Linked DNA regions of Styela clava. The protein of the gene in region 1 purifies or fractionates together with the protein of each later gene. This does not show direct contact. Links are inferred from orthologs where the notes say so. Each region holds a gene or a part of one and is shown in the gene's direction. Other genes may lie near its edges.

Region 1 (16,871 bases):
CTGTGGCAAATGCTTCGGTTATAAAGTATCCTTGAACAAACATATGCAAACACACGCGGGACAAAATCTTGTCAAAGAGAGACCCTTCGCCTGTGAAATATGCGGTGCCAAGTATGCAAAGAAAAATGAACTGCGACAACACAGCGTTGTACACACTGGTGAAAAACCATACTCTTGCGATTTATGCGGTAAAACTTATGGGTGGAAAAAAAGTGTAAAAATACACAAGTTGTCATCGTGCTTTGCCAAACATGCAGATTCAGAAACTCACTTATGAGTGTTATAAGTGCATTTATGTTGTGTAAGTCTCAGACCACTTTCGTTTGCATGGTTATCTCACTTTGTGTCGTTTTTGTTTTATATCAGACCTTCGAGACATGCGTGGATACTTATTTGATCAAAGCGCTTGATTTTTTTCTCCCAATTTTGTATTTATTACTGTTATGCATAAATTACCAGTGTCTCCGCTCAAATTATTATTGTTTTTTTTAGCCCCTCCTCAAATATGAAATGGTATTTTTTACTCTATTTTATATTTTTGTTTGTACAAAATGTCTTTTCATTATGTTAATAAATAAACGATTGTCTTCAAAATTTCGTTTCGAACTTCAAACATTAGTTTGGACTCTACTCTATCAAGGCTCTTTCAAAATTGGCCTGTCGGTCGTTCTTCGGAATCCTGACTAATTGTGGAATATTTGGTTAAACGATGTGGCGTGGTCGCCCTTTTAAATAAGTCATGGCAATACCAAGATAGCCTACATGGATAATAATGCCTCATTGCCGCTAATATACAATATAATAAGGCTAACTTTTGCTAATTAGCTAAATCAACATTTCCCGCCTAGTTACCAATCCCGGTGATCCCAGTACCAGCTAACCAACTCTTGATTTCAAATGCATGGATTTACGTATGTCTATCTCGTGGAGATAAAAATTCTGCGACCGGAAGGTCCAATTTATATCTATTATTATTGTTCAGCAGTTCACAAGATACTCATCGCAACATTGCCTAAAGTTTGACAGGGTATTTATCGCTACTTCAAAACTTGCATTATGAATTATCCTAATCCTACCAGTAGAGTTAAATTCTACAGGTCCTATTTCTGCTTGTTTGATTGTGTTGTCAATCAACTTCAGCAACTAACTTTTGACACAGTAGTAAAACACACATAAGCACATTCAATATTGATAGTTTAGTTCAGTGTTTCTCAAACTTTTCCTTCTCTCGGAGCACTAAGCAAATAAAAAAAAATTGCGGCACATTTGTAAAATGAAATATAGTTGCATTGAACAAATTAATTCTGCAAATGTTAACGCGATATGTGTACCTGTTTAGAGAAACAATTGAAACGAGGTTCCGCCGCTCCCTTTTTTGCTTTCAATTTCAGTCATAGCAGAAAATCCGTGTTCACAGAGCCATGAATACACAAATGGTTAGATTATTTTGATGGATTTTCCACCGATAAATGAGTTGAATTTGTAAGCAGATAGCCAAAACTCGTCCGAATTCGCTTTTCTGTTAACCTAAATAAGCGCGAAAGTCAACATGATGGAGGTGGAAGCCTCGTTTACAAATACATTATAACAATACAATTATAACGTGACAATCACACTTACTACAACGACAACGCAATAATATTTATAATGAATAGCGCGCACTGAACTCTCGCAAGCTCGCCCGTTGCATGCGTGCCTATGTGTATTACGAAAAGCTTGTTTTCTAAAATTCCCTAAAGCTCTGCGGTACACCTGAGCATCTCACGCGGCACGCAGTTTGAGAAACACTGATTTAGCTATTTATTTGATTTACAACTTTTTTTCAGAAATGCAACCGAAACTGACAAATATCATGCAAAACCACAACGAGGCAACGTTTGCAACCATCCTTGATTATGAGTCTGATTGGCTGCATGAATTGCAGTCGTTTCGTCATGGTTAACTTTTTCCTGATTAGTTATTCATTCATGCGTGCCTATGTGTAATACGAAAAGCTTGTTTTCTAAAATTCCCTAAAGCTCTGCGGTACACCTGAGCATCTCACGCGGTACGCAGTTTGAGAAACACTGATTTAGCTATTTATTTTTTTTACCACTTTTTTTCAGAAATGCAACTGAAACTGACAAATATCATGCAAAACCACAAAATCGAGGCAAGGTTTGCAACCATTCTTGATTATATGATGGGTCTGATGGGCTTCATAAATTGCAGTCGTTTCGTCATTGTTAACTTATTCCTGATTAGTTATGGTTATGGAAATAAACAAGGAAATCGATGCCCTGGGAAACATCCCACAGACACCCGATTCAATAGAGCAGTGATTTTCAACCTTTTTTTGTATCGCAGAACACTTTTTTTAATCTAAAGTTGTGGCGGAACACCAAACGAGATTTTTGGAAATAAACTATATTATGCAATTAACTGACATCGATCATTTTGGCATGAAAATAAAATAACAAAACTAATATTATAGCTTGTCAACTTTAGCTGGAAAAGACGTGATACATTCCGATTCAGAGCTACAAGATCTAAAGTACGGTACAAATGAATGTTTTTGCGAGTTTGCTTATGAATATATACTATGATTAGCTAGAAACAGAAATTGTATTTTAATGTGATATTTGGGTCTGATGAGGTTTTTGATGAGTTTTAAATATTTTATTCTGGCTGTAATTGAGGACACGCAGCTCTTTCTCAACGGCTCTCAATTTCTTGCGTTTTTTTTATGCGCAACAGGAGTCCAGAAGGTCGGAGGTCAATTTGGAAATTAATAGAAACATCGAAAATTGGCATCAAAGCAATTTTTACTGTTTAATTTTGTCATAATCGCTACTTTTTTTGCCCCCTGAACGTTTTCATATTACCGCCTTTGTTCTTATGCGCAAGATTAATTCTCGCCGATCGGCGGAGATCTAAGTTTCATATTTTGTTATAACTATATGCGTTCACATCGGCGACAGATGTTAATGACATGAGGAAGCGATTTTAAATTCCAACTTAATTTTATTCTGATTTTCATCGTTTACCCCGGCTTTGATCTAACTTATCGCCGTTTGCAAATTAAACGTCCCAGTTTTAAGCGAATAATATTATCATTATCGAGCACACATATAATAAGACGATAATTGAGTTTCTTATGCTCCACATTGGTGTCAGTGTTATTTCCGAAATAAATCAATTAGATACTGTGATTAGATAAATCTGTGATTGCGTGAATCTTGAATGTTGATTTAAAAGCTGAAATCTACGTGGTCATTAGGCAAAATGACGATAAAGATCACTTCTTGAACGATGTTTTACATACGCGACCTGATGCCAAAAAATTGTAAACAATTTTGTGCCCAATTGCTTTTGTGCCTAATAGAGGGAAGACGCTGATTAGAATTACCGTAAATGCTCGTTTTAACGCCCGGTCTTGATTAAGGGCCCGTTTGAATAGCCGCCCGTGTGAACAGGATATGAAAATAAATATAAGGGCCGGTGCTTGAATACCCGCCCGGTGTAAAAGTTTTTTTTTTTGGCCGATTTGTACCCGCGGTGCGTAGAAAAAGTCAAAATTTTCATTAATCTCGTTTAAATCATACTTGAGAACTGGAAATGACAATATACGGTATTAATTATTGTAACGATCGATCTTATCTACCGGTATTTTTGTGTGTAATTTTACTTTAAAATTAACAAGCGCCCCTGCTTGAATAAGGGCCGGTTTGAATAAGGGCCCGGTTAGTGAGTATGTTTAAAAAAATAAGCGCCCGGGCTATAAACGAGCAAATACGGTAATCACCTCAAGTTTTAACGTTTTCTTTTTTAACAAAACATTACCGCGACCATTATCATCGCTAAATTCGTTACCTACAAATTCACAATTTTATTTACGGAATTTGCGAATTCAACACTTCACGTGACGATTTTGATGATGCCACGCCCTAATATTTACTACAAGAAAAGCTTCAAAATGCAACGAATGTAATCTCCTCCGACTTCATGACTCCATTTAGGCCGAGGTCATTTATCTTTCCGTTTGGTAGCGCACATAAGGTAACTACCTGAAAATGATTTTAAAATGTTCCTTAGAAATTTAGTAACAAATATTGCCTTGTTCCCACTTCCAAAAGTTACACGTTTTACAGATAAGACGCTTTTATTACAATAAATAAGTGTTACCATCTGTCCTATTTTCTCTGCTTTTTCTGATTTTCTCTGTTTTTCCGGTATTGCAAACAGATGGGCTTGGATGGATTCATATTGAAATACTTTTTTCTGTATTTTTCTGCAATTGGAACTGCTCATTAAACTCATGTTGGAGACTTCATTGAGGTTTTCAATTCATTTTTTTCTCCACTATGAAAATTTTTTGAGGTTAACGAGGCATTAATAAATAAAGCTAAGGAATTTGTTTGTTCACTGTATGAAGAGGATATGAAGAATGTAAATGATACCAGGGCACGTCTATTTAACACTGGCAAACATAAGATTGATTCACTGATTCAATGATTCACTGAAGGAGCATGTGGCCCTCAAATCAGTTCTTGAGTTGGCAAACTGCAAATGTAAGAAAAATAGTCAAAATAATTTATGCAAGCGTGCCAAAATCAACTTAAATTGCACCGATTTTTGTTTTTGTATTGACTGCAAAAATCACAGTACACTTATAGAGAAAATGTCGATTTTCGAGATAGTGGATTTCGAAAACAATTCAGAAGAAAGTGAATTAGATATTGCAGTTGATTTAATAAGTATCATTTGTTCGTTTGTTTTTTCGGACATCTGTTAGTGTCGTAGTCCTGTTTCTAGAAATAATATTGCCTTTGGTCAAATACATAGCCACATAAACTAAAAAAAGACTAATTGTAATATTTCTGTTCACTATGTTATGTACATTCATTTAATTTTCTTGACTTTTTCGGTAAATTTCTAAGTAAGAAATAACTGATTTATTTGTGTTTTCGTGCTCACGATGTTAATTTGTGACTTCATTGCTTAAAAATAAATACGTTTGATAGCTTCAATAAAATGGATGTAGCTTTTTATGCTGTTCTTGTTGTAAACTGCTTGTGGTTATTACATAAAATTTATTCGCTAATGTGAATCAGCGTTGTTGGTGTCGCTGCTTCGAGGTCACTCGCGACTCCTGTCACACAATTAAAGTATTTTTTGTTGTTGGTTACATGTATGCCATATTTTTCGTAATCCACCTAATAAATTATGATTGACTGAGGAAGTCCGATTTTGGTCAGGCAAAACATTACAGGAATACATTTGTGTTAGTGTGCTGTAGGGCTCTCGAATTGGATAGTTCTTATGTATGTGTTGTAAACCTATGGTTATTGAATTTCCGGGAACCACTTATATTCAATTTCGCATCAGAATTGTGGAACAAGCTGTAATGCGTTCAGTATGTTCATTTTCACACAAAACTGAAGAATTTATTTAGTTATCAGATGTGCGCTACGAAACTCATTTTCTGGGCGTTTTCAAGGCTTCGTCTTACGGCCCATATCCGTGGTAAGGATCTACAAGTGTTTACTAACTTACTTATACATTTTCAACAACGTCTTAGCATAACTTAACTAATAATAACTAAACAGGGCTATGGAAAGGCTGCCCAACTCAACGCAAGGTCGAGCAATAATAACTAATATTCATCCGCTCGCTAACAGCTGATTCAATTGTTACGTCATGCAGAAGTCATTGTTCATTGCCGAAAATGTAGAGAATATTGGACAGATCGTAGCACATATTTCTTGTAGTAAAAGCGTCTTTTCCGTAAAACGTGCAACTTTTGGAAGTGGGAACAAGGCAATATTTGTTACTAAATTTTTAAGGAACATTTTAAAATCATTTTCTGGTAGTTACCTGATGTGCGCTACGAAACTCTAGGCATTTTTCAGGGCCTCGGCTCGCGGCCTAATTTATAGTCGAGTATAAGGCGCGGCGGTGTGGCTCAACGGGCTAAGCGTTAGGAATACGCTCGCCACCGCACCTCTAATTACTCTGCGTGGGTTCGCAGGTTCGAATCCCATGCAGGGATGGTTATGTGCGAGAGGATTGCTGGACTCCTCGCCGTCGTTGGGTGGTTCACGTAACCGCTAGTCGGTTACGGCTTCCTCCACCACCAAGTCCATGCTTCCGGAAACAAACAATATATAACTAATCCCATACCCGACTTGGAATGGTAACCGGACGAGAGGCCGTGGTTCGCCATATGGATAAGCCGTCCTATCGGCTTTCCTCTCCCCCGGGATAAATATGTAAATCCTATCCTTTCCTATCCTAAGGTTCACATTTTTGGAATATTATTTGGTCAAGAATGGAGTGGATCACAAAAAATATACGCCGAGATAAAGTTCATTAAAAGAAAATATGGCCTGTCATTTCTCATCTGGTTACAAGTATTTTATACCAACTTCTCAAAACTCTGACTCGCCATTTTCAAATCGACGCTATTTATATTATTCGAATTACGTCATAATACTTCAAAAAAGCAATTTTTTCGCGTAACACCTGGAGGTCTCTCGCGGAACACCGGTTGAAAATCACTGCGTTAGACTAGAGGAGGTAAAGGGCCGAATCTCATCGCGAGAGCATAGTTTCACAAGTAAAGGTGGGCCCACATCCGCAATCCAGCGTATGCCTAGCGAGATTTATGAACTGTGGCCAACAGGTCGATCGCCATGTCTCGAATAGTCGATCGCGTCTGATGTTGAGTGAATTTAATAACACAAAAAAATTAAAAATTAACGCGAACCAGGTTCATGCAGCGCCGGTTGTGGGCAAGCCTGATGATTATTAGGCCTTAGATGTGAAATGTATGATTCGAATAAATCTTAACTTAATAATGAAAATTTACTTCGGGTTGAATTATATCATCAAATTAACAAATTCAGTACCTACGGTACCGTATTCGTGTACCAATACCGTACATGTATGACCTTATTACAGATCAGTCGATCACAGCTATTTTGACGATTTTAGTCCATCGCAGTCCAGCAGTCGTTAGTTAGGTTGGCCACCTCTGCACAGCAATGTCTGAATGTAGGCATTTGCAATTTGTTTCATTTTTCTAGTTTAGTTATAGATATTCTAACTATTTATACAGTTATATGGACGTGAACCGCAGTCAAGTTCTCACACAGTAAGAATAATATAACAGTATAACATAAGACCCTAAATCCTACATGCTGCCAAAAAATATCAGACAATAACATGAATTAGGCCTGGTTTTGTTGGCTAGTTTGAGATTGCACTTGTATATTTTGTATTGAAAGCTGTAGTCTTAAGTATACTGAGTATAAAAGGTTGACAGTTTTATTGTTTTTAAATTCCTAATATAGAAAAAATAGTGCCACAATCATGCAGTCACACCACTGCACCTGCACCATGGCAGCTAAGATTGGAAATTGGCAGTGAACTGCAGAATTGTGAAACATTAAAAAGTCCATGAATAGGAAATGCTTGGATGTGTTGTAAACGGAGTACCGTAGACTGTGAGATGAGCCTGCGACAGTGCGAACCAAACAACAAGATATAAATTACAGTAGTTGAAAAACAAATAAAACTGTTTGTAGTTGCGTAGGTTTTTCCAACCTGTTGTTTCATACAGTCATAACAGACTTTTCAGATGACCAGGTTGAATATGACAGTTTGAGTTAAGAGTTTTCCAGTTCTTTGGAAGTTGTTTAAAACTAAACAAATACATGTGGATTTATATATTTTTTTACCTATATATATTTCTCTAACAAAGTAACGGAATATATCCAGACGAGAGGCCGTGGTTCGCCATATGGTTAAGCCATCTTATCGACTTTCCTCTTTCTCGGGATAAATATGTAAATCCTTTCCTATATCGGTAACAGCACCAACCGAGTTTGACAGTTCTTTTTGAAAGACATGTTCAGAGTAACACAGCCCATTCTGCCATTATAATTTTATGATATCAGTAAATGCACAGCCAATACACGTTTTATTTTTGACTGTTCAAGTATTTTTGACTGATCAATATCTAAGCAATTTTTGTTTCGGTTATGAATAAAACTATTTTCAGACTCGTGTTTTATACTAGTCGTCGACAAACTTAATGTACTCCTGGGCCAAATATGGACGATAGCGTGCAGGCCCCATTAATTTCATAAGATTGAAGCACCTGCTATTTCTATTCCTGTTTCCAACACAACTAACGGTATACATGTTGGGCTAATTACTACAAAACAAATGCCATACAACAGACATTGTTACGATATCTGTGCGCAGATGATAATAAGTTCATGAGCACTTTTGTTTTATGCATTAAAAGTGAAGTCGAGGCAAATTTGCCCAGCGCTGTTTTACACATTCAACAAATTTGAATCTATTTTGAAAGATTGGAAATATACAGTTTAAAATAATGTTTGTTTAGGTTTATCAAATTACCGGTATTGTAAAATATAAAACGGTTTCAGTATTTTGTCGTTTCAGAGAGTAATACTAAGTCATAGAAAGTCTTGAAATCACTTAACTACATTATGGATTGGGGCGTTGAACTCTGGGTAAGTACAGACGTGAGACTTTGTTTAATGTTGAATGCAGTCTTGTGTTGGGCTAAAGTCCCGAATTCCAAACTTCTTACTTCATTTTAAACAAGGCTTTTCTAAGCCACTGATGTGTATGGTACTAATTTTCAAGAACACTGGACTATTAGTAGTTAACATTGCCTGTCAAAGTCGTGACTACACTTGGGTGAGGCAGTGGGCTTGTTTGAAATTTATAATAGTCAAGTTAGACCACAGCTAGCGGGTGTTATGCTAGGATTTTCCAAAAGCAGTCCTGCATCAAAACAACTCCAAAAACAAATCTACAATTTCCCAGGATCAATTTGAAAATGTGGACAAACATTTGCACCATGGAATAGAATATACGGATAAATACATGAAATTTGTGCAAGAAAGAAGCTCCGTGGAACAGGATTACGCAAAACAACTTCGAAGACTTGCAAAAAAATATTCGCCTAAAAAGAAAGACGACGATGCATCAATGTAAGTGAATCATTTTTTGAAGGTTTGCGTATCTTCTCAGACCAAACTCTGTATAAGAAACTACTATTAGAGGTTTACGTGTTTTCTCAGAATAAGCATTTGTGTGAGAAGCTTCTTTGGAGGTTCACGTATCCTCTCAGGACAAGGCTAGAATACTTCGGGAGTACTCAAGGCTTTTTGTAAGAAGCTACTTTTGGAGATTTACGTATTCTCTCAGACCAAGCTCTGTGTAAGAGGCTACTTGGATATGCCCAATAGTTGTTATAAAAAATTTGCTCCATACAAAGTTCTGCACAGGCAGCCACTGAGGTTACTATAGTTCAGTACAGCACACTATCCAAATTCCAAGTATTTTCCTTCATTTTGTTTAATAAAACAAACACTCGATGTGTCTCACAAACGAGGGGCGTCTGGGACCACGTCAGATGCCTCATATCGCGCCATGCTTGTCTCAATAATAATCTAAATTAATCGCAGCCGTCACATGACCAAAATTGCTGTTTTTTGCTAAAAACTTTCGAATACTACGATAAAAAAAATTTTCCTTTAGTAAATATGATCATTTTTTCCCAAGGAATTCAATGATGACGTTACTAGATTGCGCTTTTTTGTAGTATTTTGCGCAACTTCATTATACTGTATTATTATCGATATTGAGGGACAACAATGTCCAGACGTCTCCCAAAGGAGGGATGTCTGATCATCTGTAAAATGGGTTTCTCTGAAACGGGACAATGCCACCCGATTTCTATAGTGTGTCGTTCTGTAGTTAGGATGGATTGTAATCTTTCCATTTTCCATCCACTCTTCTTTTTCTATGGTGGTATTTGAATCTCCAACAATCCGGGCAGCATAATCAGCAGAATATCAATATCAGATTTCCTGTTCAAATCATCAAATTTGTATTTTCTCAGATTTTCAACAAATAAAGCTTTTGCAAGTCAGCTTGCAGAATTGAATGATATAGCAGGACAACATGAGATTGTTGCCGAAAGTCTTCTGAAGTCAATCGTTAAGAATTTACACGCATTCATCAACGAACTCAGACTCGAGAAAAAGAAGGTATTTCATTGTTCAATTATTACAGTGAGAATTCTATATCACTTGCTATGTCTTATACACACAGATTGTAAGTACAGGGTGTCCATAAAGTCTCTTTACAATTTCAATTTTGTTATCGAATCAGTTCTCAATATATCTTAACCAGGTTTGTTGTTTTTTAGTCAGTAATTGTTCAAGTTTTAATTTATTTTATTTAATACATCTGTGAGGGCCAAAACAATATATAGGATTGAAAAATTCCTTTTGGAATTTAAAAAATTCTAGGACTTTATGGACATCCTATATATATTCCATCTAATATTTTTAAATTGAGTTGGCCATGCAGATTCAAAAAGATTCGGTTTATTTTTTTCCGAACTAAAATATTTTGCGTATGTGCTTGTTCTGGTCATATGAATGAATTGGTTTCATGGTTGGAAGTTTAGACAGTAAGTGTAGGTTATTACATTATATCCTCAAATATAAGCCGACCCCAAAAGAACGGCCCTAAAACGGTGAATTTATGAAAATTTGCATATAAGCCAACCCTACAAATCGTAACACTTATTATTAACACGACACATACTTTTTGACACAACTAATTTTTGTTATAAATTATTTTTAAACTCTGCTTATTTGTGAGGATACAATATCGTAGGTGAATAAATCAAGTTATGAAGATTTGGAAAGATTTTGTATGATTATGTTTATGGTCATCCTGTATGAAACACTGGCATAACATGTCAAAGCTATTTGGTTCAAATCTCATGCCCAAAATCTCACCAGTTTTGTATAAATTTATTAATAAGCTAAAGTTAGACGGGAAAAAATTGATTCTTTTCAAAATACATAGTAATAACACAATACAGTGATTGTATGTCTACATTGTTACTCAAAGCGAAGATGTGAAAATACTTGTCAGTTGAAATAATGTACTTGGTAAATGTAAGCATGAAGCGATTTATGAAGCTCATTCATAAATTTTTTATTAAACAAAGCTTATTAAGTAGACTCATCAAAGGAATTTTGTGATCAATACTCTATTGCTTAATTATTGATAAATTTTTGATTGAAGTATTTTTATCATGAATTGCTAATCAATATCGGTATGGGGGAAATACCAGTCATAGCTTGATGAGGGAAAATGATTTTTGATGGAAGAGGTATATTGCTTTTATTAATTAAGCAAATTGAGATGGATTTTTCTCATGTAAATGTGTAAATAAATCTTCCATAACTCTTAGTCTCTCTGACTACTCCTAAATCGATGCTATTTGAGCGAGAGATCTACCTCCATATGTAGCCTACACCTGGGGTCTGACGAGAGGTAGTCTTCAGGCTAAAGAAGTACTCTTAAAGTTTGTCACACCCTGGACCTTTTTGATGCTTGAATAACGAATAGCTAAGGAATTTCATATAGACCAAAATCTTTTCGATTCGCCATTATCTACCTAACTTTACATCTTGTGGTCACAGGATTTGAAAACCAATAAATTTAACAGTAGCCTACTTCAAGGTCACTAACATAGTTAGACCGGTACTCCAGTTGTGTGTGTACCAGGTTAGGGTTAGGCCATAGTTTTATTCCGATTTTCCTTATTTTAGTTCCACAAGCCCACAGGCTTCCGTATCTTTACACAACTTGATGTAAAGGAGGCGAACAAAAGTAGTTGCCTCCATGTTACTTCATTACTTACTTACACATACTTCTGGAGCATCGTTACACCAGCATACCAACCTATGCGCAATCTTTATAAAAGAGTGTTTAATACTGTATCGTTAACAGGAGTTAACAAGAGTGTTTGACATTCGATTTTACTCAGCAATTCTCTAGGGAAAGTCATGACTCAACATGTCTTGACATAGTTCTAGTTTCATTCTATTTTATTACACAATGCTTACAGGAAAGAAATGCTATATTGCATAATGTAGAAAATGGTTGTGGGGAATACTCCGAGTATGTGTATTTGAATTTTGGTACTGTCCGCAATTTATATGAATATTCATGGGTAGTTTACACACTTAATTTTCTATTTATCTATCAGATTAATTGTTTTAGGATCCATATTATGGAACTTGCTAGAAATAAGGCCATGAACACATTTTTTGATAAACCTGATTTAAAATCTTGGCACAAGACACATCAATGCGATAAATTTCATTCGGCGCAATGGGTTACTGAATCATGACTTCACCGCAAAAATGGTAAATTTCTAAAAAAAATCTCTTTGCCTAGCAATAATTTTAATTTTCTTTGAAGTAGTTCCACAATAAGAATAGATATATTGGTAAAAGTCAATATCATTTTAGTATAAGATCATTCTCTATTCGAAACTCAGCAAACCTAGGTTGGAAATAATATAGTATAGTATATTAATATTGCAACATTCTAATACATCGAAAAACAAAACAATATTGTTTACTTGCTGACTCATCTCTATCAGTAGTAGTTGCGACTTCCCACTTTCCGATATGAAAAATGATTTTTATTTTACCAATCAAGTGTGGCCTGGTGTTGTGGCAGGAAGTATGATCATACAATGAGGCTTCAGTGTGAATAATAATATCAGTCTCGCTCTACGTAACGTCTAAGTTGCGTTTACGTACATTGAATAAAAATTATCAGCGTCATTTATATTCTGACACCTGGTTACGTATTTAGTTTCCTCTTCATGAAATGTGGATCTTTATGTTGGAATGATCCGAAACAACATGACACCTAGGGGTAGATCTTCCAGTATGAAAATTGAATTCTTTTACAAATCATCACCCATGATATTCTAGTTCGTTACATGTATAAGAAAATACATTTGGTACAAATACATTTTATTGATGTCTGTAGCATCCAAGTTCGTTTACGTATGCTGAAAAATAATCATCAGCGCCATGTGTATACTGGAACCGGATGCCGTATTTAGCTTCCTCTTCATGAAATAGGACCTTTATGTTGGAATGGCCCGAAAACAATGGCACATAGTGGTAGGGTGTTCATTGAAAATTATTCTCTGGCGACATGTTAGTTCTTAAAATATCAAATCTTGTAAATTATTTAATATTTTTGGTGCGGGTGTGTGATGCAGGTAATAAACCTGATCGCATATCTATGTAGTTTATTCTCCATGAAATAAGATATGTTTTGGATTGTCCTCAAATAAATATATGTTAGATTGCATTACCCTTGTTGCCAGATAAAAAGATAGAAATATGTTTAAATCTGGCAGCCACGATACGTTTCTTTTAGAACATTGAATGGTGTTCTTGGCAATGTCAGGACCAAAACTTGCTTTTTTTTCAACCAGTGGACCAATTGTTTCAAGATATAATATGAGACATTGTTGAAATAGAGTTTTGAACAAATTTTGCATCAAAATCATTGCATCAAGAGTCCATAACATAAATTTATTCAGTTCAGTATGACTTAATAAATCACCTTTTTACCACAAAAAAGTGAGGAATGAGGAAAAACGAGAAAAAACAATAATTTTAAATTTTGCTGAACTAAATTTTTGAAGAATTCATAGAGCAACTGATAGATGACAACAGTACTGTTGAATTTTACTAGGAAATTCACTTTCTCTAATATTTCCTTGTGTATTATATTTCTTGTTTTCATGCAGCTTGCAGGCTGACACACTTTGCGTTAGGAACGATTTGCATTCCTCAATCAAACCCTAACTGAGTATTCATATATTAATAGGCGGGATAACCGAAAAAGATCTGTAAATTTAATCAGTTCAATGGGACCTAATAAATTACCTTTTCACTGCAAAAAATGGTGATTTTCACAAGAAAATACAATAATTTAAAATATACAAATTTTCTAAAAAATCATTGTTTCCTATTAGTAAATTAAAATACATTGACAATCATGTACTGGACTGAAAGATATGTTCGATAATGATGGTTTTCTATTTCAAACTTTCGAAAAAGATTTTAAAAAACTGAGAGCTGTCATTCATAATTTTCGTTGTGCAACCGAATCTACTTCCTCTAATATTGTATTGTTTATATTTCTAGTTTTCATTCAGCTTGTTGGCCGACATACTTTTAATTCTATTTCAGTAAACTGGTCAACTGAATTGTCAAGTTTTATAAATAGGGCAGTAATACTTCAGATTGCGTTTTTTGATTAATTTATGTTCACTAATAATTGTTAATAATTTTGTTGTCTGTGGTGATTTCTGTATTTCTAAAGCCTTCTAATAAAAGGATTCAATAGCATTGCTGTTACCGCAAATATCTTTCTGTGCAGAAGTCAAGAATATTTGTTTTCTTTTTGTTATTCATAACCACAGATTCAGATCTTGTTTACTCGTACCCGTGGTAATCCAATGATAGCATATATTACTACTCAATTGTCTGAAACATTTTCCTTTCAAATATATTTTTTTAATGATTTGCTCTTCCTGTTTCGATTGAAATAATTAAATCACTGATTTTTATTCGCATTATGCAAGCAAGCGTTAAGTAAAATCATTAAAATAATATAAAAATTTTACAATTTATGAACTGTTTTCGTAATCTATATTTGACTGGTAACTGGACGAGAGGTTTGTTATATTATTAGGCAAGCTCATCACTTTCTTGTACCTTATTTACCAAATATAAGAAATCATATCTAGAAATGTTAGATCTATATTGGCTTGTAATACAGTTTCATCTTACATTATCATGTAATCTCTGATAAGAAAATAAATATAAGCGAGATAAGATAATGAATTTCCCGAACAAACTGAATTTGTATTGATAGCATTCTGGTGATTTGGGCACGGTTTTAACCATTTTCTGTTTATGATATTGTTTATTACTTATGTTGTCTTGATCAATCGCAGCATGATTCTAATATTATTTTACAGTGGCGATTATATTTATAGAGGGCATAATTATAGTCTGGAACAACTAAATTATGACATACAGGGTGCGAAATGAACCATTGTTTTTGTAAAATTTGAAAAAAAAAATAATTTTGAATCAGTCTTCCCAATTTTATATACACTCTAGGTGGGCATGACGGTTGGTAATGAACAGCGTCCTTTACAATTAGATTAACAAAACAGATTATGCAAAAAGCATATTCTGATTCTGGCGATAGCCTACCAATAATCTTTTAGTTTCACTCTAGGTGGGCATGGGGTTAATGAAAAATTAACCACTGTGAAATTACAGCTTACTGTATGTCGCATTTCCCAAAAAATTGATTTTTTGATCTTCTATCATAGACCAGGGTGAAATAAAGAAATATTCACTTATGACCGTCCCTGGTTTTATGTCTGTTCACGGTTTGGCAATTTAAATCAAAATATTACAAAAATGCAGTTTTTTAATTAATCAAAATGTGACATAAACCAAACTGGTCCTACTGCCGCGAAATGGCAATGAACAATGTCACTACAAGTTCAGCGAAATAGTTAGTGATACAAAATGTTATTCAAATTCCATTCCTCTATTCCCCTGAGCGTTATAAATACCATTGTCGGTTAGTCATTGCATGCAATGGGAGGATTTTTGGACCCGTTCTATCTTACATCTCATGCACTTTACGAATTGAATAGACGAGCAACGTGACCATATTTATTTTAGATATCTAATATAATATGCGTTTCAGTGGGATAATTTCAAACATGTATTACGAAAACGTATTAAAACGCTACTTAATTATATGACTAATCATGTCCTTTTTGTCATATTACTAAAACTTGTTCGACACAGAAATAGTTAACCTGTTATGGACTGGATGAATTTTATGTTATAATATATTTAAAATTGCAATTTGTTTGACAAGATATAGTCTATTGATCAAATGTAATGCATTGTGTTTTTCATTTAAAATATTTTTTGTTAATTATTGATAGTATTCGTTTTATTTGTACAATACATATTATGCACTCAGGACGAATTAAACCAGTCAATCAACGTAGTCTGAAATCATATATTTGGAATTTCTATTATGAGAATTACAAAGTAATATGGCATGTAGTAAACCGACTGGAATCTTTACATTTCAGCATTGCTTATCCAATTTATTATTGTGGTTTTGGATGTGGAATACATTCCCTAGTTTTAAAGTGGTTTTGATAATTGTAGATGAAAAATACTGACAATGGAATATTTTTGATAAAATAATATTTAGCAGAAAATGTATACAAAACAAACCATCTCCAGTTAAATTTTGTTAAACCATGTAGCAGGGGATAAATTGCAGAGGATATTTACTGAACAAACCACCCATGTCATGTTCAACCATTCAGATAAGTGTGCTGAGCCATGGAACTAAAATTGTTTTTTATGTCATGTAGTGTTTCTGTTAGACCAACCACTTTCTTCTGGAAAACCCCTCCCATTTTCACAAAACACAAATTTAAAGAAATTGCTGTTGTCTTTCTTGTAACCAATTAGAAAATAATAATTATAATTTTAGATAAATAAAATAGTCATAATGAAATTTGCGCAGGTTGTTGAATAATTTGACTTGCAGAATACTGGTATATTTACAAAAATCACCTCTAATAAAAGTTCAAGAGTCTTGCTGCATACTAACACATATATATTTTCCTGTGACGTTTCGTCAGACTTTCTCCAACAAGCTTATTTCAACTTCAACAATATGAGAAATGGGATGCACATTTAAAAAATTGGTGTCATACCATGGGAGTATGCATGTTAATTAATTGGTGATTGTATAATTAATTAACATATCCAATAAAAGTTATATTGAAACTTGCAATAGGTGATAAATTTTAAATCACATTTACTGAATAAACCACTCCTGTCATGTTATTAATAAACCTTTTAGAAAATTAAGCCGACCCTTGGTCTGTG
Region 2 (16,491 bases), on another chromosome or scaffold:
GGCGGACATCGGAATGTAATATGTGTACTAGGTTAGGGTTAGGCCATAATTTTAGGTATAAATACTACGGGAGGCTCTTGGCTAGTCTTCGAACTGATAATAGGACTAAAATAAGGAAAATTGGAAAGAAATTATCGCCTAACCCTAACCTGTTACCCATGTTACGTTCCGATGTCCGCCATCTTGGTTCGCATACTTCGGGAGCACCGAGTTTTCTTTGACAATATTCTGCTTTGGTTAATTAAATTATAATAATATTTTGCTATAAAAAATTTTTCAAATAGTCATGTCTCAAATAAAAGTATGCCTTCCACATAGTGAATCACAAAAAGGTTGTTTTGTGCACTGAAATAAATGTAAATCTAATCACCCAAATTTCATGATGAAAAAGTTTAAGTACTGCTGTTATGTACTCGTCATAGATTGTCAGATTGACTTTTTTTCCCTTGTGGAGTAGATCATCGATTTCTTTGTCTTCGTTAAAGTGGGCTTGAAAAATAAATAAAAATACTGCCTTAGTTTTAGTATTTTTTTCGTCTTATTGTTAATGTTAATATAGACAGACATAACAATACTTAACAATAGTTGTAGTTTGTAGTTGGCAATAGACTTCTTTTTTCATAGGTTGATTTTAGATGAAAAATTTGTTTATAGGAAGAAGTTCTTGGAATAGAAAGTGATGATGATGATGATGATGACATTGATGAAGAAGATGAATCTGATGATGGTGAAATTGGAAATAAAGGTGAAGATGATTTGAGCCTAAAATCTAGTAATACAGTCACAACATTTGGTACTGCAGTAGTATGTGTACCAGTATGCAGTTCTATTTCGAGTTGGGGACTGTCCTTTAACCCTGCTAAAACGATATGAGACTTATGTGTAATATGAATATGGCTCTAATATGATTTGTCAGTAAGAGTTAACATTCTTTATGTACACGTCTTATTATGGACTTAACTCAAAACAAAACCAATAAGACATTTTCGCGCCTTTTTCAAGCATGATATAGGCTTGTCCGAGTGTTTTTGCCCCGGGTTGTGCGTCACTCCTTTTTGGCATATTTCCAATTTTACGAGTTTTATATCTGTAAATATTTGAAAGCTAAGGAACATACAAAGGAATACGTTATTACTTGAAAGAAAGTAATTCGCGCGGCCGTGCGCTCATTTTCCTCGCGTAAACACGCACTAATAATTACCCGCACAATAATAAACAAACAAGAACTGCGTTGACTTCACAAATATACCGCTTTGTTACTCGACAGCTGTTTGCGCTACACCATTGCCTGTGATATCATTTTGTTAGGAAAACAAACACCAAAACGGCTATAACGCTTGCGAGAGAGTGCCGTTATCATAAGTAAGGTTCAACGGCCATAAAGGAGAGAGGTTCGAATGTTTGTATACTATCGTCGATGAATTTTCTCACGTACGCAAAATTTCGTACATGGAGCGGTCCATTAGCGACCTCTTGCGTATAGAAAACAATAATATGATTCAAACAAGCCTTCAATTGCCTTCCAAGCCATATTGGTTAGGTGACAAATGCTAATTAAAAATATTTTAAAAATTTGACTAGGGAGTGCGGGTTAGGAAGGTTCAGCATAGTGTTTGGATTTAAAAGTCATTCTTCAGTTTCTGTTGCTTCAAGACACTCAGTTGATGTTTGAGTATGTGTACCAGGTTAGGGTTAGGCCATAATTTTATTTCGATTTTCCTTATTTTAGTTCTATTACGAGTTCGGGACTGTTTTTGTTAGCCAAGTGAATATACCCACTGCCCATAGGTTTCAGTTCCTTTACACAACTTGATGTAAAGTAGACGAACAAAATTAGTTACCTCCATATTGGTACACACACTTCTGGAGCGCCTGTCATTGTACTCTGCTTAAGACTGTAAATAGAGTTTGGAGCCTAGTTTACAAACTTGTTCATTTCTGTGTTAGGTTCATCACAAAGACAAAACATCTTAAAGAGATTGAAAAATTTAAATCTTTCTCTTTTATTAATCCGAATCTTGGATTTGAAATATCAGAATCTTGTATTTGCATTTTATGAAGAGATTTGGCCCACTGTTTAAAAAAAGACGATTTGCAAATTTTATTACCAATCAAGCGCACTGAATGCATGTTGATTTTAGTAGCTCTGAGCATTTAAAAATATTGAATTACAAATATCTCCTGCATTAATAGGATATTATATTTTCATGAATGAGTTTACAATCACTAGTAGTTTCCTTATTTTTTTTCTCATTTCAGGTATCACAAGTGAAAGTGCTTGGGGAAAGAGAAAATCATCATTTTATGGTGCAGACACATATGATGGCCTGGAAGGTAATGTTTTTTTTTATAATTGTGGTAAAATGGTTACCGTATGTCATTGTCTGGTTAGTTTTCTAAAACTAGGCCGATACTGATGTTTCCTCACCTAAAGAGATGGCTACAAGTAACAGGCAACACTCAGAACAGATTTTTGTGTTTTTCTTGCAAAAGAAATGAAATCTATAACAAAATGTTGAACTTATGCAATGATGACAAAAAATTGCATAAAAAGTACATTTACTCCTTTCTTTGTGAATCTAATTTTAGCGATTTCATCGCCTTATGTTAAAAATTATTAGTGTTAAAATTAGTTAGTTAAAACTGCTTTCCCGTCGTAAATTTGACATTTGGCAGTCACGTGATCGACCGATATACATCGGTAAAATTAGCCGATACTGATAATTCGAAATTTGTGAATAACAGATGATATATTGGCCGGTCCCTACTTTTTTGACTATCGTTAAGAATGCACTAAAAATTTTATTTATAAAAATATTAATGCTATTTGTAAAAGATATACCTGAAAATTCAGATAATTTAAATTACTTTATTGCTGTAGAGCAGTAGTTTCCACTATTTTGGTGGAGCAGAATCTCAATGCAACATTCCAAAGGCTTTGGGAACCCCTGGTATGATATAATGGTAAAATATTTCTATTTGCTGTAAGAAGAATTGTTTAAACTATAAATATATATAAAAGCAAATCTAATACTAGCAAAACAAAATTATCTTCAAAGTTTAGCAAGTTTTGGCAGACTGTATTGGCGGAGCCCTAGTGTGTAGTTGAACCCTGGTTGAAAACCACTGCTGTGTAGCAGGCCTATTTGAATGCTAAATTATTCATCTTAGGACAACCCTGAATATTAATCAAGTATTCTTCTTGAAGGTTCTGATAGAGAAGAAGCTGAAAAAGCAGAAGAAGAAGAAGTTCTTTCTATTCAGAAAAGATTGGCAGAACAGATGGATGAGGATGATTTTGGATTGGATATATTGAATGTGAGTTATGATTGGAAACTTGGGGCCAATAATTTGCCAAACCAAAAGCATATTCACGAATTTTTTGATCTTTTTAGATTTTTAGAATCCAATAATTTGCTAAATCAAAAGCATATTCACAAATTTTTATATCTATATTAAAATTTTATGCTATATTGAACAATGGGAAATGGGAGGATTCAGCATCGTTATGGGGTTTCAGTAATCTTGCTGTTGTGAGAATCAAGTACTCTGAATGAGGTTATTATCCAAATTATCTTTGCTTCTTTCATCTAGCAGATGATGTCCATCTTTTGCTGTGTTAATATTTTTTTAATTGTTTCCGCAGGTTCCGGAAACTAAAACAGAAGAGCAATCTGATGAAGTTCTAAAGGCTCATGTTGACGCAGATTTTAGTTCGTTATCCAAGAAATCACAATGGAAACTTGTGAAGAAAGAATCACCGGAACTTGATGGATTGATTCATGACTTTAAGGTTTTTGCCTTCTGTAATTTTATTCAAATATATTCGCCTCGCACTGATTGTGTTGAGGAAATATTCATTCTGAATACAAATTCAGTTTCTCATTCAAAACTCAGGGTTTTATCAAAGTGACTCTGCCTGATGAGCATTGGATCATGTTGGCATCACAGGTTAAAAGATATCATTTTATATACCATGTCCACTACCTTGCCCAAATTGGGTAGCAATGCCAAATCAAAAAGACTCAGTGCTGTGATTCCCAATCTTTTTTATATTGCGACAAACTATTAGGCTCTTTAAATATTCGTGGCACGCCTATCACAAAACATGAACATTTTATACCCATTGAGCCATTTTGCTATAAAATAATAAAGTAAGAATGTAAATGAACAGTTGCATAGAATGTTTACGGCATCACCCGAGGTGAAGAAGCGTTTTCAGTGCTTGGGTCACAGTATGACTAAATACCTGAGCAGCTACAGCTGGTTTCCTCTCATCTTCTTTACAAGTTTCAAATTAAAATGCACGTCTGTAAGTCGATATGCTAACTTTTAACTGTCTATTGGAAATTGGAATCACTTGAAATAAGTTCAACAATGAAATCTCTTCGCCGCACCTGCCGGCACACCAATATTCATTCAGTGCAACACTAATGTGCTGCAGCCACTGTTTAGACTACACAGAGCCTAGTTTGAGGTGACAAGTGTATGAAAATGTCTGTACAGAGTTCTGTTAGGTTGATAGCAGTGGTGTTAATAATATAAATATATCAGAATCCTATAATAATAGTAAAAAATTATTCATTCCAGACCAAATTATCTGAGCTACAGAATGAAGTTTCACCGCTGATGAAACTTGTGAAAAATGGGACGATACCGAAGGGTCTTGGATCTGATTACATAAGTCTCAAATACAGAGTCTATTCTGCATATCTACTCAACATATCATTTTATTTGGCTCTGAAAACCAACAAAACTCAAGTACAGAACCATCCAATTGTTTCAAGACTGGTGCAATACAGAACAGTGAGTGTTATTTGATGATATCCTTGTTTTTGCCTGACCAACAAAAGAAACCATGCTATCCATTTGCCTACTTTGAACACCGAAGGGTTTTTATGTCTCATACATAGCTACATAGTTCACAATATACGATATAATTTTGTCTGTGATATCCTGAAATATCTAAATCAATGGAAGTTTAGCTAATACTGATTCTCAAATTAGACAGCAATTTTGTTTTAATATTGGCTAAGGTATGGTGCATTTTTCTAAGTGTTAGGAATTGTCGTCACACCTATGATTACCTTGTACAGGTTTGCAGGTTTGAATCCTGTGGGGGAATAAATACTGGTATGTATGTACAAGAGGATTATTGGACTTTTTGTCACCACAGCGTTCACGTAGCTGCTGGTCACTTTCCTTTTCCCCGGGAAAAATATGAAAATCCTATCCTAATATTGCACTTTAATTATGAATTGCGCAATACGGCATATCACGATTCAGACCTTTACCCTTGGAACTTATGTTGTCATTAATATATCCATGCATATTAAGAATGGTTTTATGTTTTCTGCAGGTCATCAACCAATTGTCCCCCATTGAAAAGAAACTACGCCCTGAAATAGATGAACTCTTGAAAGAAAACCTTAATAATAACCTTGGAGACGATTCGCTTAAAAATGGCGAAGAGTTAGCGTCTAGTTCTGAAGCATCTGATTTTGAGAAAATTGATGAAGTGGTAGAATTTAAAAAACAACGTAAAAGAAAGTCGAACCCCAAGGTTTGTTGTCTACTTATTTTAACATTTGTTAGGTATATACACAAAATGGGTCAGATTGGTCAGCAAAATTTACCCATGAAATTCATGTTGTTTTATTACTGGATGATCTCTCTTCGTGTCGTGAAATTAATAATAACTCATTCCATTATTTTGTTCATTCTGGTATATATGCATCATATTTTTCAGGAAAATACTGATGAATGTGATGTGCAAGAATTTTCCAAATCAATGTTAGAAAAACTGGAAGAATCAAATGATTCTGATGATAGGTAAGTGGCGCTTTAGAAGTATGTGTACCATTATTGAGGTAACTAATTTTTAATCAAGTTGTGTAAAGGGACTGAAACCTATGGGCAGGGGCTAACACAGACAGTCCCCGAACTCGTAATAGAACTAATATAAGGGAAATCGAAATATTATTAGGCCTAACCCTAAGCTGGTACACACACTACGGGAGTACCAGGTATGTAATATATATGCGTTTAGCATTGATGAACTGCTTTAAATTCTACAGTAACATTGTGAATAAAAATAGTCCGGTGACCAATGGAACCTAAATATTTGAAACTCAATAGGGATCACCAGCCGGAACTAGAATTCTGTGTTTTTTAAAACATACACTTGAAAAATACATTATGTTGTTATCGGCCAATTCCTTCAATTATAAATGATATGTTATGAAGCATATTGTGAATTTTTAATTTTAATGTTGAGCATTAGAGGTCACTCAATACTACTATTTTTAGTTTCTTCATCTGTTAAAGTTTTACATTTTACAGAGAAAATTCTGATTTAACTGAAGATTATGTTAGTTTCTTCAGGCATGCAACGAGCAATTCTTCATTGCAGTTCTTATTACATTTTATAGAGAAAATTTTTATTTATTTGAAGGTTATATTAGTTTCCTTAGGCATGCCACTGAAATATACTTTATTGCGCTGCAATTCTAATTAATATTTATTTTTTCACAGAATTGCTGACAATGATGACGATGAAACAAATGGTCGAAGGGCAATAAATTATGAGGTAAAACATTTTGTATTCTTCAACAAAGACAATGATCTACTCCATATTGATTTATCACAATTTTAGTTAAGCCTGATCAATAATTTATGTGATTCATTTTACCAAGTCATCTTTATTATTTTGTTTTTGACTTTGCACCCTCCAATGGCTGTGATTTGTTTTCACGAGCGAGTTATGTTATTTTCAAATTGGTCAATCATTGTCATTTCTCATTTTTACAACTTTTTTCGTCAACAGATTGCCAAGAACAAAGGACTTCGTCAGAAAAGGCGGAAGATTGATCGTAATCCTCGTGTCAAAATGAGACAAAAATACAGGAAAGCAAAGATACGAAGAAGAGGACAAGTTCGTGAATATAGGCCTGAGATAAAGAAATATTCTGGAGAAGCTTCAGGAATAAGAATAGGTTTGAGGAAGAGTACAACTCTGCAGTAAGACTAAACTGTGGCCAATTTATGGAATCTCCATAATAGCTTTCTCAAACGAATGATGAAGTGATGTGAGTTGATTGTGTTAGTGGCGATTCCTGGCAGAAGCATTACAGGAGTGTGGAGTGGATCATATTGACTTTGAGAGTTATTACTGGATTTATCTGCGTGCTCTGTTTTTCTTTTTGTTGCCAAAATCTGGTATGCAATCTCAAGAATGTTAAACTTTTTCTATGGTGATTAGTGGGGAAGTCTTTATAATATGGTACAGATAGGAGTTGTAAAAACCAGTGACCGAATGTCGATAATGTGAACATTGTAAGTTTTCTAAGTTCTCTGAGTGCAGTGATTTGATTTTTACAAACTGGACAAATACAGATCAATCATTTAATTTTTGTTCCTTCTGACATTAGGCAACACATGAGGAGTAAATCCATTGCACATGTTGCACAACTGTGTCTGTACCATGTCCATGTGAATGTGCTGCTAATTTTGGGCAAACAAACTTATAGAGATACCTCGAAGGCAATCATATCGAGGGATATGGTTAAAATATGTCCCGATGAATGAATTGTTTGAAATATGATACAGTTTTAGTATAATATCACAAGTGAGAAACTAATCTGTTTCTGTTGTTTGGTCAAACCACCCTCGCTGTCGTCTTTCATTTAAAATAAAAACTTTAAGATCTCTATTTGGTCAAATCTGTTTTTTATGTGGTGCAAATTATCACAGATCAAATATTCATAATCGCCTAATATAAAATAAAGGCCAGTTTAAAATTCTTTGGGTGGAAGAAAAAAGGTGATATAGTCCTTCCAACACATTCGATGAAAATCCAGCTCGATTTGTACATCACCTAGAGATGCTAAACTTGGACTCACCGTGTTGATATGTAATTGCTGACGGGAAACGGCTCCCGGAAATACATGGACCGAAGGCCTGAGCTTGGCAAATTTTTATTACATATTTATAAGCTTTGATATTGCATTATTCTAAAGAATCTCAAGTTCTAGATTACTCTCAGCATAATATGACTCAAACAAAATCAAATGAAAGTTATTATGCGTTCTCCAACTCCAAGCATACCTAAAATGGCTTCTAATGCAGCAATTGCTGTAGTATCATCAAAGTCAATAGAATAATGACGCAATAAACGTCACTCATTATTCCCTAACTAAAGGATTTCTCAAGCTAAGCGCGATATTTTATCCAACCTAATAAGATAAAAAATTAAGATATTAAAATAAGCCTCGAGTTAAAGCAAAGTTATGCCTTTTGGGACGGAATTATTTCATAATTTTGCATCAGGTTGGGAGTTATTTTTTTGAAAATTTCACCAAAGTAAAATACCGGGACATTTTGCTATCCGGGACGGGACAGACGTTTAAACCGGGACTGTCCCGGCCAATCCGGGACGTCTGGTAGGTCTACTTATAGATAATAGCATTCTTGTACAGGACCTTGTTCATTCAGTAGTTTATTATTCACTAAAATGAACATACACTTAATGCAAACAAAAACTAGGAAAAAAAACATGAAAATGGCATTTCTCGGAGAAGGGTGACGCGAAAAAACAATGTTGGTTATCTAGCTGAGGCACTCGTGGTGATAAAAGTCTTAACTTTGATACAGGTAGAATAGAAAGACGAAGTCCAATTACGGAAATGTTTGGTCATTTAAATATTTATGTGCGTTTGTTGTTCTAGTGAGCTTCTGCTTGAATTCGAATTACCGATTAGTCATTGTCACGGAAATAAACGAGGGAACTAGCTTCCATGAAACAGCCGTATTTGTCATTGGTAATTTGTTGCTTAATGTCGGGATTTCCCTTTTGTGTCATTTCCATACAATTAATAATTTGAACAATCTATCCAAAGTAGTCCAGTCGATGAGTGCTACGTTAATGAATAAGCTATGAGTTTTGATGTTGTTGGCAATGAAAAAGCGTGACGACAATGAACATTTTCAAGTATCAATTACTGAAACGTTTTTGTCATAGACAGACTTGTTCAATTGACAATCTCCGTGTTTGACAAGTCTATGACGTAATGCATGTTTTGACTTCCTGAGAAATTGTCGATAACGCTGTCTGCATTCATTTTTTCTTTTTGCAATATTAAAACTTTGCACTGCCCGGGAATCGAACCCGGGTCGCAAGAATGGGAATCTTGCATGATACCACTACACCAGCAGTGCGAGGCCGAAACGGAGGTTTTACATCCGGCTCTTAAACATCGTACGAGAGAAATAAAAAAAAAAAACTACAGTTTGCAATATTATGCGAACGATGGCTTGGAACACATAAGCTTGCTGATAAAATCGATAAATGAAGCGATGGGCGGCCAATTAGGTTGTGTGATTTGTTACCCAACTTGACATAATAGAGACTTCGGTGAAGTCGCAGTTAAATTAAATGGTTTATGTTATCAATGCCTGTTTAACACGGCAAGTGGTGTATTCACAATAAAAATAATAGTCGATGTAATTGTACAAATTTATTGTATAATCTCATCAATTATCCATAACGTGTTGTGACATAATACGTCAATAAACGTACACAACCGTACGCTGATGTAGCCAAGCGCTGACATCATGCAAGCCAAATCACGACCAAGAGAGCTACGTAACGAAACCATTTCTGACAGGTTCATTCACGGCGACGCCGGTATTTATACTGCCCCTGATAAAGCGTCAGTCAGACCCGGAACGCCTCGCCCGCCCATTGATGAAAGAGAAAGAAAGATAGAAAGAAAGAGAAACGACGCAGCAACTATTCTCACTCTTTTGTTAGCTTCCTCAATTGGCTTTTATCTTTATGTTGATACGTTTCGCTCTTCGGACCTGCTGTGCTTGGCGATACCACCATTACGTTTTTTAGTATTACACCCATTGATAATTATTTCTTAGTTACGATGTTTCAAACAATAGTATTGTCGGATTTCGAATTTTGACGTAGTCCAGGTATTCCGCTATATTACTCGAACAGCGTCGTCACATAGGTAGGCACAAGGTAGCTGAAAGTAACACACATTTTATCACTCAAGGAAGGAATTAGGCCGGAAGTTAATTAGGTTAATAATCAAAAGAAAAGGGTCGAAAGAATATGTGATGAACAGAGATATGTTGAACGTTGAATGAAATGAGGATAATCAATAATTACAAAAAATTGTTCAGTGTGATGCCACTCTAAACTTTTGTGTGAAACTGTGATGCCACATTCAGACATTATATCAGTATATTCAAATATTGTACTGTCATAGGCCTATGTCAGATTGGGTAATGGTAACTATTCATGTTCAAATTAAAGACATAGTGTAATAGAGGCTGTGTGTTTAGCTGGGTATACAGTTCTGCAGTTACACGGTTTTACATTCAGTTTCTTAGGTCAGTAAGTAGACTGGCGATTCCTACTTTTCAAGATTCATGGATATGAGTGACATAAAGAACACGCACTCAGATCTTATTTTTGACATATGTCCAAATGTCAATTGTGTTCAAATTTTTGTCTTTAAGTATAAGTATAAGTTTATTTCGACTCCATAATCAGCAATAGACGATAAAAAAAATAGATAAAAACAAAAGTAAAAGTAACTGATTATAGAATCGGGAAAGCGAACAAAACCTAGAGTAAGGTTTGAAACGTACAGATTTTAGATGGAAAGGTATTGATAAAAGAAGTAGTACGTGTTCGCTCACCCAAAAGTAAAAAAAAACTAATGAAGGCACGCACGCACACACACACACACAATCATCGAGACATGATACTGTCGGAAGCGAAAAAAGCGAGACTTAAAAGTAAAAAGGAAGGAAAATATACAAACAAATTAAAAAAATAAAAAATGAATAAATTCTTTTGCCACGCCAAATTGTAAGTAATACCCATAAGTAATACCCATAGCATAAATCCTCAGCGACAAGCATTATTTTCTTTGATCAGATGATGGTAGACAAAAGTAACTGTCATAAGCTAGTGGGAAATTTTTATGTTATTACACCCCAATAGCTGTTATTGATTACATGTTTATTACAAATTTAACAATCGCCATAAAATCAATGCTTGAATACAATCATGATTTGTTTATTACTGTCACAAATTAGAACCATGGCAATAAAACCTCATAAAATGTTATTACTTTGAACTGTATTGTTTGTGAATACTGCTTTCAATATATATGACTTGGACTTTCAAATATGCTTCTTTGAATCAGCGCATTTTTACAGATTCAGTGGCAAAAACTCGATAAAAAAATCTTGTTTAGTCATCTACGATATTCCAAAAAAAGCATTGACGTTTCTTAAGCATGTAAGGTGCCATGATTAGAACCTAGGTCCTAGATAATAAGTGTTGCTGCTTGTTAACCAGCTTTGGTTCCCTGTGATTTTCCCATCCCACCCCACTGTAATTATCATTTTCTCATGATTTGTGTACAATTGATTTTCATTTTATTGTTTAAGAAAAGTAAACTTGTTTTGACTTACCGTATTACTAAAATATACATATTTCTGGCAAAAAGAGCCAACTGGAACTTAGGACCTAAGTCTTACATAACCAGCCAGTGATATTGAAATTGTATACTCTTAAAATTAGTTGAAGTGTGTATTCAATATTGTAAATTTTTATAATACACTGTTTTTAATACATATTGCAATTTGCAACAAAATTAGCACTTGTCCAGCTAATCAAGCCATATATATATAATTATTTTTTACTTCACTGCATGCAAATTTGAAAACCAAGCAAAACAGTGTAGTTCCAGATATTACTGAATTTCAAAATCAGTTTCCATGGCTATTGACAAATATGTTTTCAAATTCATATTTATAAAGATGTCTCGATTCAGGCTATGTTTCAGAATCATAAATACTTATTTAAATGTTTCGCAAAAGTATATAGGTACGTTTCGCACATCTGTCTTTCTGCCTGACTGCTGACACTAGTTGACCCAGTGATTTCTGGACTACCAATACCCTGAGTCATCTCATGTGGGGGGATGAATCATCTCTCAAGCTGGCACATAGTCTTTCATATGATGTCTTATATTACTGTCTGAACTAACACTATAACAATAGGAATCAGAAATAAATAGATACTATTAACTATTGATAGTCAAAAATGGAAAATTTTGTAGATGATATTGTTTTACTGAAGTACTTTTAAAATCAGGACTTTACTGGTTGGAGTATATTTTAGTTTTATTTTTCCTCGACCTAACATGTCATGAAACTTAAATTTATTGATTTAGATCAGTGATTCTCAAACTTTTTAAGCCGCGCCCCTTTTTAGAATTTGTCAAGTCTTGCGCCCCTCAAAAGTAGCTACGGTAACTAACAATAAGCTACAAATAACAGATAGTAAGACGAAAGTATGTTTTATTCAAAAACATGTTGAAAATATGTGGTTGGCACGTGAATATCTGAAATAATGCGGGCAAAATCAAATCTACTGAACCACTGATTTAGGTTGTTCTCATGCTTATTAGGGGATGAAAAAAATCCAAAAAGAATGGTAACCATATACAGGTGTCGGGTTCAGACTCGTGGAAACTAAAGTAATGTGCAGCTATGCTTGGCCCGTAAAGTCTAACCAGAGGTTACACAATCTATAGTAAATTGAATTAACAACCCATAAGTTCAATCTATCTAACTAATATTTTTGTTTTCTTCCATAGAGTTAATTGAATAAAATAAATATGCAAACCATCAAATGCGTTGTTGTGGGAGATGGAGCTGTTGGTAAAACCTGTTTGCTTATTTCATACACAACAAATAAATTTCCATCAGAATATGTGCCAACGGTATGCTATTCTCTGTTTTGATGCATGCGAATCATTATCTATTTTCTTTTCAGGTATTGACTAAAATAACTGGGAGCTCATGCAAGTAAACAATGGGGTTGTCAACATATTCTAATCCTTAAAACAAGTGCCTACATGGCATATTTTTATTCCAGACAACGAAATTTCTGTCGTTTTATGGCTCTCTTGGTACAGCATAAAAATATCATGGATGTACAATAAGCCTTTATTTGCAGTTTGTTTCATAATTGTATATTTAGTGTTTGTAACATAATATTCAAAGAATTTGGTATAAACGAGAATAGTGCTTTCAAAAAAAAAAAAACTTAAGTGATGTATTCAATGACCCATTGTGATTATTACTGGTAGGGCGCATGATGGACCGGGCTATTTATAGTTAAAACTATATATATTCAGCACGCTACGTAAATTTGCATGTAAATTGGCAACCGCAGTGGCTTGCTTTCTAACTATTCAGATTTGCCATCATTATTCAATGATATTATATATGAATAACACATTTGAATTAAATATTATTGGAAAAATTGATGCTTTGAAAGTTCAGGGAAAATAATTTGCAATTGTGTACCAAAAAGTAGGACACGTTTCTCCGATTCCAAGATATCCAGAAATTTGGTCCAATAAAATAAAACACTCAATTTGACTCTGAAACGTGCGTCTCTAATATGTGTCCACCGTCATGTGACCAAAATTTCCTTTTTTTTCCAAAAACCCCGAATGCTACAGGGAAATTTTTTTCTGTGGGTAAATCTGACTTTATTTTTGAGGAATCCAATAGTGAAGTTTTTAAATTGCGCTTTCTTTTAGCTTGTTGCGCAGCGCCGGTATGCCCATTTTTACCTTTATGGCAACCCAGACTCCTTTAGGAAATGGGGGCTATTCTTGGAATCTGAGAACTATGTCGTAGATTGGTAAATATCTACATAGAGACAAAATATTTAAATATAATCTGTTTTTTTAGGTCTTTGATAATTATGCCGTCACTGTAATGATTGGTGGAGAACCATATACATTGGGATTATTTGATACAGCAGGTGAAATATTTATTTGAGATGAGTAAAAACTCTCATTAAATAGACGGATAAGCATTCTGTCAATTAAACATTTGTTAATGACTAGTCGTTTTCTTTTACTGTTTTTCCGCCCACTGATGATTTTCTCACTAATTTAAATAAGTGAGTTGGGTGCCAATAATCTCAAATTATCATTCCCTCTGTAAATATGTTTACCTAGGCTTATCTAGTTTATCAACCGTGTCAAGCTCAGTTCTTGTCTGTTCTATACCTACCTAATCAATCTATGTACTCGGTGAGCGATGGAAAAATTGTTTGGCTGCCACACACTGAGCATCCCACTACATTCTTGTGAATGTGCCTCATTATCCACAGACCACAGCATAGTGAAAGTATTATCGACTAATAAAAATTGTCAGCCATTGTTAAATTAGTTATTCTCCTAACAAGCTAGCAAATTTTGACCAAAACAGATGCTGTTAATTTGGTACTCCCGTAGTAACAAATACTACGGGAGTCAATTGGCTAGTCCCCGAACTCGTAAAAAAACTAAAATAGGGAAAACTGGAATAAAATTATTGCCTAACCCTAACTTGGTCGGTACACATACTACGTTCCGGTGTTCGCCATCTCAGTTCACATATTGTGGAAGTAATGTTAATTTTACCCAGTTTTTAAATGTATTGAAGGACGGCTTACGAATATTATAAATATTTCATTATGTGTTGTAACACAATATTCTCTTTCACAGGTCAGGAAGATTATGACAGACTAAGGCCACTCAGTTACCCTCAAACTGATGTATTCTTGGTGTGCTTTTCAGTTGTTGCCCCATCCTCATTTGAAAATATTAAAGAAAAGGTATGTGTACTCCTGATCATACATAAAGACTAGATTTAAAGATCCAGCATTTTTTCAGTGCCCTTTTTTGTCAATTTGCAGAACTACGTACCAATAGTTAAATTTTGTCTATGCTTTTGTGCTGCTGTGGTTTGTTGATAATATGTGAGGATGTTTTAGAAAGTGAAGGTTACTGTTTTGTCTTGACTGAATTTGCTCTGATAAAATTATATACTTATATTGCACATTAGTAAATTATAAGTGGCAACGATATAAGCAAGTAAATTCCATCCCGGTAGCAACAGTTGATGTTTTTATTGGGCTAAGCAATTTGGAAACTCCTACAGACTTTTTAAATCATAGAAATAATCTAATTTTAACTTTTTATGTTCAATAGTGGGTTCCTGAAATAACACATCACTGTCCAAAAACACCATTCCTACTTGTCGGTACACAAGTTGACTTGCGCGACGATGTTGGAACAATCGAGAAATTATCCAAAAATAAGCAAAAACCCATCGCTCATGAAATGGGAGAAAAACTCGCTAGAGAATTAAAGGCTGTAAAATATGTTGAATGCTCTGCTTTAACACAGGTAAGAAACTATTAAGTCTTGGTACTACATAGCTTTAATTGATATCCCGTTATCACAAAATATAAAAATTGTGCTAATCAACATGCAGAAAGGCTTGAAAAATGTTTTCGATGAGGCTATCTTGGCTGCTTTGGAACCACCATCTGAAAAGAAGAAACGAGGAAATTGCGAATTGCTATAACAATCTTGTACGTAATTGTGGTATGAAGGTTGCCTGATCAATATTTCCGCATCCATTTCAGTTCTATCTACGTATTTGTGCATAAATTTATCCCTATTTTCTTGAATGATGATTATAGAGGACAGAAACTATATTTCTTTTCATGTTGTATTTCGTTTGAATGCTATTTTTATTTGCTTTGCATATGCTTACTTATCTCATTTTCTTGTGAAGATTTCCGATAATAGTATATTGAGCAATTTTGTATCTAATTTAATAATCAATAATTGTAATTTGATTTATCATAATAATCAAGCAAGTGGACCTATGATTTCTTGAAATCAGACTAGAATTTTCTTCAAACGCCATATTCCTTTTGTTCTACAGTCTCTCAATGAATTTGTTGGGAGCTATTACTCTCCAAATGATAAAAACCGATTCAAAAACACTGGGCGCTGTGTATTGCTTCTGCATGTGCATTAGCTCGCTTTTCTAAAACCGCTTTAGCCTGTGTATTTTTACATAGCATAGCACAGAATTATTTCATTTGATTCTCTAGGTAGCTCTAACTAAGATAGAATCTCGTCAATTGGAATGGTTGTATGCAACAAAGAATAATATTTTAAATCCTATTGTAATGCGATAATTGTCTATTCATTTCTTCTTTATTTAAGGAACTTTTTAATAAAAGTTGTCCTTCTGGTCATGATTTATGCTGATTGAAATTTGCTTGACAAGGGGGAAATTTGAGTTTGGTATCGATGAACCAATCAAAAACATTTAGCATGTAATTTTTTTGTTTTATTTTTCTCTGCATGTCCTGTAGGCGTATTTGCTTTTTTACTTAAAGAGTTGAGCAGTGGGTTAGAGCAGGGGTGGGCAAATCCTGGCCTGCTTGTGTCTGCTGAAATTAAGACTATAGTTTCTATGGATATGAATTTCCGCTGAAAAATTTATGAAAATAACGTCATGATGATAAACTTCGGAACAGCTTTTTTATATAAAAAGCCCAGCAACAAAGTCTATGGCCCAGATAAAACTGTAGCT

The links.
Region 2: the proteins of cdc42-interacting protein 4 homolog (region 1) and cell division control protein 42 homolog purify together in Drosophila melanogaster (affinity purification with western blotting; 4 studies listed by BioGRID). This does not show direct contact. The link is inferred for Styela clava from reciprocal best matches to the Drosophila melanogaster genes Cip4 and Cdc42.

What each region holds. Positions count from the first base shown.
Region 1 is NC_135254.1:6,316,611-6,333,481, forward strand, and holds the start of cdc42-interacting protein 4 homolog, read left to right. Parts: upstream 1-8,366; 5' UTR 8,367-8,501; coding exon 8,502-8,525; intron 8,526-8,844; coding exon 8,845-9,011; intron 9,012-9,925; coding exon 9,926-10,073; intron 10,074-16,871. Other genes in the region: uncharacterized protein LOC120344092, read left to right, coding at 1-277.
Region 2 is NC_135256.1:6,368,109-6,384,599, forward strand, and holds the start of cell division control protein 42 homolog, read left to right. Parts: upstream 1-12,689; 5' UTR 12,690-12,710; coding exon 12,711-12,815; intron 12,816-13,797; coding exon 13,798-13,870; intron 13,871-14,600; coding exon 14,601-14,710; intron 14,711-15,086; coding exon 15,087-15,284; intron 15,285-15,372; coding exon 15,373-15,465; 3' UTR 15,466-15,472; intron 15,473-16,491. Other genes in the region: something about silencing protein 10-like, read left to right, coding at 655-745, 2,260-2,334, 3,209-3,318, 3,647-3,793, 4,591-4,806, 5,360-5,563, 5,750-5,832, 6,535-6,589 and 1 more. UniProt on the Drosophila melanogaster protein: Regulates mbt kinase activity and is also required to recruit mbt to adherens junctions. Together with mbt and Frl, regulates photoreceptor cell morphogenesis. Together with Frl, has a role in the neuronal development of mushroom bodies.